Nothobranchius furzeri: one gene and its partners. The main gene of each other region encodes a partner of the protein of the gene in region 2 in a complex. Links are inferred from orthologs where the notes say so. Each region holds a gene or a part of one and is shown on either strand. Other genes may lie near its edges.

Region 1 (3,755 bases), on a different chromosome or scaffold from region 2:
AGTGAAGGTTGTCACATCACGCTTTCTGTTCACGACGTGATTACTTGTTAGCTAAGTTAGCAACGTTAGCATTAGAGCTAGCGACACGTTTGCTAATGTAGCTGGACTTCAAAAACGTTGCATACAACAAAGGTTTAAAACAGCAAATTAATCCTAGTGACGATGAACAAACATAATTCAGAATAAAGTACTAATTATGACTTAATTTTTAAACTCTCTTGAGCTACTTGGTTTACGGTAATGCGGCATTCGATGTACCTCGGAAAAAGGAAAATGCTACTTGTACTGACGCGTTCAATGGGCAAGTCGTTCCGTGGGCAAAGTGAGACAAAACTGTTTGTACTTCAGGTTTAATATTTTACTTTATCAAAAGTCATCAAAGTATTTAAGGTTGCTCAATAATTAAGCAGACAAATATGAAAGAGCGAATGCTGACTTACCAACTGTTCACAAACGCAACGTCACGTCATTTTACATAGTCCCGCCTTTCGAACTTATCATTGGTAAATTTTTTCAACAACAATTTTCGGACGTAAGATACGTTCATTGGTTGCTGCATTTAAGATCATGTGGGACATTTGAATTTTCAATCAACAATAAACAAAAATCACTGAAAAGCCGAAACAATTATCAATACGGTAATTATAATTTTGATTTGTCATCCACCATGTTCTACTTTAATACGAAAATCCATATTAATCTGAAAAGTAAGAGAAAATAATATTGAAATTGTATAAATAATAGTTTTACTATATTGTTGCGCTTTTATTGATTTGAAAATAATCTTCAATTAAAGTAACTGAGCATTTATTTTTAACAGCTGAGCACAAGAAACAACTCTGAGCCCGTCACGTGGTTCCAAGAAACAATAATTGTGCGTTGAAGGCTACATTTAATTCCGGTGGACATTAAATGTAGCATACGCGTCCTCTACGAAATGATTAATGATGTTGAACATTAAAAACAAACAAATCACAGAAATTAATAACTTTGATCACGAACTTCGTGATTTATACCCATTGGTAGTATGTAATGTAAATTAGGACAAATAATGCTCAAATGTTCAAACAAAAAGATAAAAAATTGTAGAAATATTAAGAACATCTGGTAATGGCGTACAACTCATAAACTTTTAGACAGCTGTTTTATAACTAAATCTAATTATTTGAGTGGAATGATTCCAGTGCAGAGTATGTTGACATATTTCACTGAAGCCACGCCTCATGTGTTGATGCTTCTGTTGTATTAGAAAGAGCAGAGGACCGCATTGGCTGTCGTTTTTTCCTTTTTTCTTTTTTTTAAGAAGGGTCCCAAACTGCACACAGATTTGGAATATTGCATTACAGTTCTGCAGAAAGATGGCGACTGTCATTCATAATCCATTAAAATCGTAAGTGTATTTCTTTTATCCTTTTTTAAATCTTAGTCGAGCAGCTGCAGACACAACGGTTCCTTTTCCATGTGTTTTTTTAATGATAGGAATCATAAACGCAGCCTTTCATCTGCACTCGGACTGTCTGTTATAATCAGGTATCGCTGCGCGCTGTTGTGCAAAGATCCTCACATAAAAGCATGCACGTTGTAGAAAAAAAGCACACTCTTTAGACATCCAGTCTCGTTGTGCAGTTGGTTTCGCATATGAAGAAAGTTTCACGCAAAAAAGAAGCGACTGGTAAAAGTTTGCATCGGGGAATCCCTAATAGCGATGAAAATTTTGATGCAAATGACATCACAACTGGCGCGCGCACGGGCACTTATTTCAAATGCGTGCACAGTATACTCACAGGAGCAGATTAAAACACGGCCGTGCATGTAGAGGAAATCTGCACCAATATTAAACACATATTGTCAGAAAATGGCAACACAACCATATTGTATGATTTGGAAATCTATAAGTCTTAATTTGCTTTTTCTCCCCTCTAGAAAAGGTTGCCATGTGTCATGTGTCTCAGTGATAGCTCGTGTGTGTGTAAGAATTCTAGGTTTTGTTATAGGAACCGTAATCCAATTCTGCGCCACTTCTTTTAAAACCTTCAGCATGACCTTTCTGGGTAAATGTGTTCCAAATAATACACGTTGTTATCTAAAGCTCTTTGTTGGAAAAAAAGGGAAAAAATGCTTTAAGCTGTTGTTTTCCATCAAAACAGATTAGGATGTAGTGAGTGTACGCGTTAGCTTTTGTTTGCGGTTGTGCCTGTCAAGCAGGAGATTAACAGTGTCCCAGTATTCTCCTGTGGGTCTATCTGTTAAGAGAAAGGCACAAGTTAGGAGCTGATGAAGGAGTACGGATGGGGGTCCCCATCTGTTATTTGTGTGCATCAGATCTAATATTTGCAGAAAAAGATAAGCACTTTTTAAGTCAAAGTATTAAAATACATTTAGAATTGACTTTACATTTTTAAGGGGTATTTTAGCAACTTTAAAGTGTTTTTTTGTTATAAATATATCCGTCTTACTCAATGTAAAAGTCTTCCGAAACAATCTCAGTTTAGAGAAATTACATTCTTCAGGACTGATGTGAGGGTGGCTTGCCAACTCCGGGTCGGGAGAGAGGTCCTACCTCAAGTGGAGGAGTTTAAGTATCTCAGGGTCTTGTTCACGAGTGAGGGTAGGAGGGATCGGGAGATCGACAGGCGGATTGGTTCGGCGTCTGCAGTGATGCGGACGCTGAGCCGATCTGTCGTGGTGAAGAGGGAGCTGAGCCAGAAAGCCAGGCTCTCGATTTACCGGTCCATCTACGTCCCAATCCTCACCTATGGTCATGAGCTTTGGGTAATGACCGAAAGAACGAGATCGCGGATACAAGCGGCCGAAATGAGTTTCCTCCGTAGGGTGGCCGGGCTCAGCCTTAGAGATAGGGTGAGGAGCTCGGACATTCGGGAGGGACTCGGAGTAGAACCGCTGCTCCTCCGGATCGAAAGGAGTCAGTTGAGGTGGTTTGGGCATCTGGTCAGGATGCCTCCTGGACGCCTCCCTGGGGAGGTGTTTCGGGCATGTCCTGCCGGCAGGAGTTCCCCGGGTCGACCCAGGACACGTTGGAGAGGTTAAATCTCCAATCTGGTCCGGGAACGCCTTGGGGTCCTGCCGGAGGAGCTGGTGGAGGTGGCCGGGGAGAGGACGGTCTGGAGCTCCCTAGTTGGGATGCTGCCCCCGCAACCCGGACCTGGATAAGCAGAGGAAGACGATGACGACGAGGATGATGAATCGAGTGGCCCATGGTGGCGGTGAGGTTATGGGCAGGCATATGTTATGGAAAACAAGTACAGGTGCATTTTATTGATGGGATATTGAACACACAGCGATACCGTGATGAGATCCTGAAGCTCAATGTTGCGCAGTTCAACCACGGCCATCAACTCATTTTGCAGCATGATAATGCACGGCTCCGTCTAGCAAGGTTCTGTGCACAGTTCCTGAAAGATGAAAAGATCCCAGTTCTTGCTTGACTGGATGTGCCACCCATCAAGCACATTTGTATACAACCAGTTCTTGACAAAATTTAGCAACCTTGAACAGCTATTGAAGTGGGGTGGACCAACAATTCACAGGCCACATTCAACAACCTGATCAACTCCAACGGAGATGTGTTGAACTGCATGAGGCACATGGTGACTACACCAAATACTGACTGTTTTTTTTATATTGCTTTCTTAAGTAACTGTATTATACAAAATTAACTGTAATGTGATGTTGATAAAATAATGTTGCTCGACTTGCTATAAAATATCAAAGATTGAATCTTGGATATAAAGCAG
Region 2 (3,655 bases):
CAAGTTAATGTATGAAAAAGTGCAACAGGTGAAACCTTAATGGGTCTCTTGAGGGCCTCCTGAATGTCCAGCCTCTTACGCATAATGGTCTGATCCAGCTTCCTCTCAAACGCCAGCAGATCCATGTAAGCCTGAGACTCTGGGACCAGTTCCCTGATCTAAAACACACCAACAGATGTGCAACAAAACACAATTACAGGAAGTTCTAATCATGGCGTGGGTGATTAGATTCAGTATCATTTCCATGCGCTGCAGTCTAACACTCACCCTCTGAGGTAGAATTTTATCAGCCATCTTCTTCTTCTTTGTGCTTTAAAAAAAAAGTTATAAAAGATAAATTAAGTTTAAATCTTTACAAACGTGTCCATAAAAACAGAAGGCAGGAAAGCCCTTTACGTAGACTTCTACAGCCTTCAAAACTGGTGTAAAGTCACACAAACGCACCGTCACCACACAAACAAATCTCATTACCACCATATTCCAGTTACTAACTCAGACATCGTGATCTGGGTTAATAATCCTGTTGGTCCTAAATCAAATCCTACAGATACATCATAAAGATAATTAATTACGGCAAAGTTATACGACTTTTCTCCTTTAAAAAAATCTGCTGAAAGTTCAGCTTATTAAATATAAATGAAATACCGATGTTTGATTTATCAAATCTTTTTTTACAATTACATTTAAAATACTTGTGTTTTTTTAGTCAATTTTTACTGTGAAGATGTGATTTGACCAAATGGAAAAAGAAGTTTCAGCTGGGTTACTTATCGTTTAAAAAAAGACCAGAAGCAAGAACAGAACTATAAAAACCTCTGAACTCATTTCAACATGTGTTTTGCTTTTCTACAGGCTGAAATGGGTAAAAATGACCAGTGATGCTCCAGTGGACATAATAAAACCTAAGCTCTGGCTGCGCGTGACTCACTGCTGGTTGCGATTCTGCTGCTGAACTTGCTGAATCTGCTGGGGGGCCGGCCTTTTTCTGGAAGGGTCCATCACCCCGGGCATCCCAGGACGAGACACGGGGCTCCCGCCGTACCCAGGTGGCCCCATTGCTGGTCCCTGTGGTGTCATGCGGCTAGATGGAGGCATACCGGGTCTCTGCAGAGAAAAAACAGCAAAGAAAACTCATTAAAATTACTTCTAATAACAAAAATGCTTTCGTTTCACTAGAATGGAAAATTATGCTTCGCAACCATTTAATCCGGAGTGGAAAGAGTTTGTAGATGTTAAAAATATTTAATGGTTTCCACAAACGTCTGTTATAAGGTGACCCATAAACCAACTTAACTTGTATTTAGCAATGTCCGACATTCGCAATATTAATGATCGTTTCCTCCTCTTAATAACCAACTTTTACACACTATACCGTATTATACATCACACTCTTCTGCTGCTTCTCTCACTCAAATATGAAAGGTCCAGGAAAAAGTTTTGATGTGTTTTTGTTTGGTACAACTTTTGAAGAAGAAGAAATCTGTCCAGTCAAGTGGGTGTTTGTCAGGATTATCTCAGGGATTATCTCATTAACGTTTCTTCCATTGCTTAATTTACATTAAAGTAGTTGTCATATTTGGCACAGACAATGTTTTAGGTGGAAGTATGTATGATAAGAGACATGTGACATTGGGTTACCTAAAACTATTTGAATTTTCCCAGAATATTGGTTTACATCATTACCAGAAATTAAGATTAAGAAATTAAGATTAAGACTGGATATCAGTAAAGAAGCAGATATTTATTACCTTTAGTGCCCTTTAGTGTGTCCGGGTAAGTTTTTAGAACATAACTTTTTTAAACATTCATTCAGTTTTTGTGTATTTTGTAAAAACGTGACTGCTTTTCAACGCCGGACAATCAGAACAAATTTCCAACAAGCCATATTTTAATTTGATCGATACACTATTCATTCATTTGCAATGATGCAGGCGTTGTACCAGTCTGTTGTGGTGTTACCTATCGATCTATGTTCTCACCCTATCTATGGTCACGAGCTTTGGGTAGTGACCGAAAGAATGAAATCGCAAATACAGGCAACTGAAATGAGTTAGGTTTGAGCATCGAGCATTGATTGGAACCAGTCCCAACTGTTCTTTTTTACCGGAATCGTAAAGGTTTTTTTTTTCGATGCCTAGTTTTGATTCCTAGAATGCCGACCAGAAGAGGAATCCGCGGCCGATCTCCGTGAAAAATAAACGTGATCTGCAGATTGTGATCAACGCTTTTCAGAGCTGATGACACCAGCTGTCTGTGTGCAGCACCGAGTCCCCCCTCCCCTCACCTGGCACGCAGCGGCCAAATATAAACAAACGCGTCTGCCGAACTTTTACTCCCTAATGTAAACTTTAACTCCTGCAGCTTAGAGGACACTTGTTAAAATACGTCAACATGGTGGATTTAATAAAAGCTTTAAAGAACAAACTCTGGATGGTGTGAGGTGAGTTTGTCTCAGAGCAGAAATAAAAACACACACGGAGCATCAGCAGTCAGACGCAGCCACTCAACACGTGTGTGTGTGTGTGTGTGTGAGCGTCAGAAGGCTGAACTGTAGAATAATTAATGTCATCATGGTAGAGAAGCTTCTCTGTGGTGGACCACACCAGCTTCTGCCACAATAAATAATAATAATAATAATAATAAATCACACACAAAGCTGTGAACATTTTAATTTCCTTTCTGAACCATTTCTGTTGAGAGTTTTAATGTTTAAAATCTGTCACTGACAGCGGCTACGTTTAAGTTTTACATTCTGTTCTGACTGAATGCTGCTGCAGCATGGAGGTGTAGTTCTCAGTCATCCTGGACATGATCATCCTGAGAGTTTTAGCTGAAAACAGCTGGACGTTTCTGGATATGTTGGAGACATTTAGCCTTTCATCCCAGAGGCTTCTTCCAGACTTTGGTTGTGGTCAGAAACAAACACACTGGTTGTGCTGCAAGTCTTTTTCTTTTTTTCTCCAAAACATGTTTCTGTCTAAATGAAGGTGATGTTATTGTTCATTGAATTAAAATTCATGTTGAAGTTAAGATTATTTCATCAAGTAGGACCTGTGGTTATCTGGTTCATGTAAAACATGTCATGTTTTGAAAGAATCGGAATCGGGAATCGATAGGAACCGGAATTGAAACAAGGAATTGAAACCGGAATCGTTCAAAATAAACGATGCCCAACCCTAAAATGAGTTTCCTTCACAGAGAGTCTGGGCTCTCCCTTAAGGTTGGTTTATGCTTGACGCGTCCGCGAGGTCCGCACGGCTCCGAGCGGAAAAGTTGCGTCATTTTGCGTAGGGCTGTAGCGAAGCCTCGACGAAGTCGACGGCTCGATTCTAAAAATTTGTCGACGTCAGATCCGGAAGTCGACGCACCGCGCCCACTTGTTGCATCCCCAGGAGTTTGTAAATAGAGGAGGAATCTGCCTGTTTTTCCTCTAGTTCGCCCTCTTCTCCGCCTTCACTAACATCTCCACCAAATACCGAAGACCCGGAACAACGTCCGTCCACTACTAGATTATTTTCCTGTTTTGCCCCTTCGTCTCCCGGCAACGGACAACAACTTCCGGGGTCAGATGCGCTGCTTCGTGTCTATCGCAGATGTAGAAAATCACCGGGAGCGCTTCTCCCTTCATTAAGGAGCTTCTTTCAGACATTAGGAG
Region 3 (3,755 bases), on a different chromosome or scaffold from region 2:
TCTGGAGGTCAAAGTACGCTCTCCGCTCCTCCATTCGCTCCCTGTTGAAGTTACTGTTGAACTCTGCAGCTTTTTTCGCTGCCTCCTTTATGTACTCAGGAACTTTACTTGCCTCCACCTTCTGAGGGTTCTGCTGCTGCATTTGCTAAAACATGACAGAAAACAATACAAGAATTAAGACCATTTTAAAAAATATTTATCAAAGCAACCATACCAGACATCCTGTTTATTCCTCACTTACAGAGTACTCTTTAGCTATTCTCTGTCGCTCCCTTTCCTGCAGAATGACTGAATACTCTGAGTGTTTGGTGGGATACTCTTTTATCATTAGATCGATCACTTCATCACTCCGCAGAGCTGTGAGGCCTGCAGACATGAATGCAGCAGGATAAAAAAATGAAGTGAGACTAAGTGTGCATGTAAAGTTAAGAGATATTATTCCTTACCCAGAGTGCATTGTGTCTCCGTGATGACATTCTGCTCACGAAGATAGAGCTTCTCCTTGTGGGACAAGTCTCTCCTTTCCATGTCTAAAAAAATCATAGATAAGAAATAAACTAAATCATAATAAAAAAAAATGAGTGCAGCTTCATAAAAATAGATCTAACATGGAGTCTGAGCCACTTTGCCCCTTGTTTATATAATCAAAAAGCACAATAGCTCCTCTACAACAGCTTATCACAAATATTATTTTGAAGTTTTACTTGAACAAATGCATTCATACAAAATCATTTTGAAAAAAGGAACAGAATTCCAGCTTGAACACAAGGATCCTCTCAGCCTCACCAGGATACTTCCTCTTGAATGACGTCACTCCCAGATACTCGCTGACCTGCTCCTGCAGCATGTAATATTCTCCTGTTTCATCAGCAGGCCACTTGTACTCCGTCAGGTTTTCTGCTGGGAAATATGTTGGCCTGAACAAAAAAAAAAATCCACTTTAGGAATAAAATTGCACATTCTAGAGTACAACACCTGGGAAAGTTTGACAAGTAAAGTGTGTTTTAAATTTAACAATATTGTGTAAAACATGACGGTAAAAACTAGATTAAAGCACCCTCTTACCCAAGCTCTTGATTGAAGGTATCGCAACTTCGAGAGCTGTCCCCCGAACCCATTCTCCTTCTCTTAGGTTGGCTGCCATCATTGGACACTTCCTCTATTACATCCTCCTAAAAACAGGAAAAAAGCTCTTCATTAAAATAAAAAAAAAAAACATGCTGAATGTTTTTATCTTTATCAAAAGTTCTAATTTATTTCAACTTTTGCTGCTTTTTACACATTTTCTGCCCAGTCATGTAACAGCAGAATAAGAGGTGATTAAATATTTAAAAAATTGTCAGGTTTCAAGAGATGTATACATCAGGTAAACTATTCCTGAAAGTCACAGTGCTTAAGAAATATAAATCTATCCTGGAAAAACCTGACAAAGGACCATGAAAGTAGTTGTTTACAAAAGACTTGAGTGTTTCCTCTGTACCCAAATCAGTGAAAATGAATGGAGGGCAACCAAAACCTGAAATGCAATACAGCTGCATCATCAACTTTAGAGGCATTAACCTCTAGAATAATAGGGTTCAAACCCTCTGGCTTGAGCATCACTTCTAAAAAATGAAAGTTTATAGAAACTACTGTACATATTAGACAAGACCATTTCCCTGACAAGGTAGGATTAAAAGACTCGTGTGTTGTTTGCCAGTTCAGGGTTACTTCATACATTTTTTATTTTAAATGAGCCACTGCAAAACATGATTTATGAGTGATATAATAATTCATTACCTGTAAACAACTCACGTGTACAAAACGTGTTATTTTAGGAAAAACAAGTATAAGTTTCATTAGATATAAAATAAAAGTAGAACTTAAAATAGAGAAATTAGCAAATAATGCATTTTGAGGTTACGTTTCGTTTTTATACGAGTCAAATTACACAGGCGACTTTTCAACAACTGAAAGGTAAATTGAATAAACTGAGCACACATGAAAACAAAGAATGGACGCTAATACGGCTAACGGGGTCATTCGTGGACACAGGCTGAAGCATGAAGCAGTTTAAGGAGTGTGAATGTCACCTTTAAAGATTGCGCTCCTGGGGTGGCAGGATTACTATCGCAAGGTGGTCTAATGGGGAGCACAGTAGCCATATTTCGACAAAATAATGTTCCGCAGCTAGGCTAGTTCACTAGCTTGAGTCTGCGTTTCTTCTTCTATGGTAAAGCCTTCGGTTTAGAAAGCGAACTCTCCTGGCCTGGATCGGTGATAGAGGTGAAAAACGTTTTACTTTTAAATACCAAATATTCCGATCATGTATTAAAATCATGTGAAATCGGTTTTGGTCCTTTAACGCAAGGTTATCACAGCAGAACAATTTTTAAAATAGTTGTCTAGCTGCAGTCAGCCAATCACAGTGACCACTACTGCCGCCTACTGGTCAATACTTGCACGTATAATCCTTCAAGTTGACAACAATAATAAGTAATATATCTGGTCACTAATTATTACAATGTGGATGTTTCTTATTTGTGATTATTTTTTACATCTATAATAAATCATGATTTTAACGTTTCTGGAGACTTAATAACAGCTCCATAGTGAGGCGAAAACTATATAGTGCATCACAGTGTCGGTCATGGAAGGACTTTTACTTTGAAAGGAAGAACCTACGGGAAGTCGGAAGGAAAAATCAGCTGGAATGCACGGAAATTATCACTGGTGTATTCCTTTACTGAGCTAGCTGTGCATCTGTCAACTTTTATTCCTCCCTTCATTTTGCTTTTGGAATCAAACCGCCACATTGGCGATGTCGGAGTCTTACGGTAAGGAGTCTGCTTTAAACCGAGGCAACAGTTAACGGGTGCCTTCTGGTAGTCAGTGGTAAAGACGAGGCAGGTGTGCCCAGAAGGCGTTTTCTCATCGCAAAAAGATAGCCGACAGGCTAACCGTTTCACCACTCAAGGCTTCTGGCCTTAAAGCAGAGCTGTCAGTCAACTCAGATCATACATCTGGGTTTGATGTAGCTTTTCACACTGAATGTAACGGAGCTTTTGGGATTCTAATCAGAAGAACCGCTAGATACCAGGTAGGGGTAAAGAGGAGGACAGGGCTGGCATAAATTTGAGGCTGAACTGTTCAACTTTTTAAATAAATAACCATTTAATGCTCTCTTTATGTGTATATTTTACATTTGGATCATTCTAAATCTCACAGTAAAATATTATTGCAGCATACAAAATGAGTTGTTTACACCATAAACACAATGAACAAACCTGTGGTTAGTAAGCAGGTGTCCCTGCCTTTATAAACAAACCATCAGGTATTCATGTGTAATATATATCAGCTGGTTTATATCTCAGTTATAAAATAATCTTGATTCAAATAAGATTAGGATTAAGATGAGCTAGTGCCTATGAATGCCACATTAAGAGGGTCAAGCTGAGCTTATGTCTATTAAATGATTGTATTGTTCCCCTTGTAGATTTCCTGTTTAAATTCCTGGTAATTGGGAATGCTGGGACAGGAAAATCCTGTCTGCTGCACCAGTTCATAGAGAAAAGATGTAAGTTCTCTATTATTTCCACTTCTTTCACATTTTTTTTTTTGTGATTGATCATCTAAATGCCTGGCTAATTATTCAGGTTGATCATTTATTGTTTTGAGAAAAATCCACATTGGCTGTGTTTTATTTAGTGTTGGTGTAGTTTGTATGGAACAGTGGTTTTGATTTCTAAATTTAGATTTAATTTGCATTAGGCGGA

The links.
Region 1: smarcd1 (region 2) and dpf3 share a complex: the UniProt entries of both Homo sapiens proteins name them as parts of the BAF complex. The link is inferred for Nothobranchius furzeri from reciprocal best matches to the Homo sapiens genes SMARCD1 and DPF3.
Region 3: smarcd1 (region 2) and phf10 share a complex: the UniProt entries of both Homo sapiens proteins name them as parts of the neural progenitors-specific chromatin remodeling complex. The link is inferred for Nothobranchius furzeri from reciprocal best matches to the Homo sapiens genes SMARCD1 and PHF10.

The regions. Positions count from the first base shown.
Region 1 is NC_091742.1:25,607,026-25,610,780, forward strand, and holds the start of dpf3 (zinc finger protein DPF3), read left to right. Parts: upstream 1-1,243; 5' UTR 1,244-1,358; coding exon 1,359-1,390; intron 1,391-3,755. UniProt on the Homo sapiens protein: Belongs to the neuron-specific chromatin remodeling complex (nBAF complex).
Region 2 is NC_091743.1:58,853,359-58,857,013, forward strand, and holds part of smarcd1 (SWI/SNF-related matrix-associated actin-dependent regulator of chromatin subfamily D member 1), read right to left. Parts: intron 1,105-3,655; coding exon 929-1,104; intron 311-928; coding exon 268-310; intron 159-267; coding exon 36-158; intron 1-35. UniProt on the Homo sapiens protein: Involved in transcriptional activation and repression of select genes by chromatin remodeling (alteration of DNA-nucleosome topology).
Region 3 is NC_091749.1:34,751,493-34,755,247, forward strand, and holds the start of phf10 (PHD finger protein 10), read right to left. Parts: upstream 2,355-3,755; 5' UTR 2,145-2,354; coding exon 2,073-2,144; intron 1,173-2,072; coding exon 1,066-1,172; intron 918-1,065; coding exon 787-917; intron 531-786; coding exon 447-530; intron 367-446; coding exon 242-366; intron 146-241; coding exon 1-145. Other genes in the region: rab4a (ras-related protein Rab-4A), read left to right, coding at 2,801-2,816, 3,476-3,556. UniProt on the Homo sapiens protein: Involved in transcription activity regulation by chromatin remodeling. Belongs to the neural progenitors-specific chromatin remodeling complex (npBAF complex) and is required for the proliferation of neural progenitors.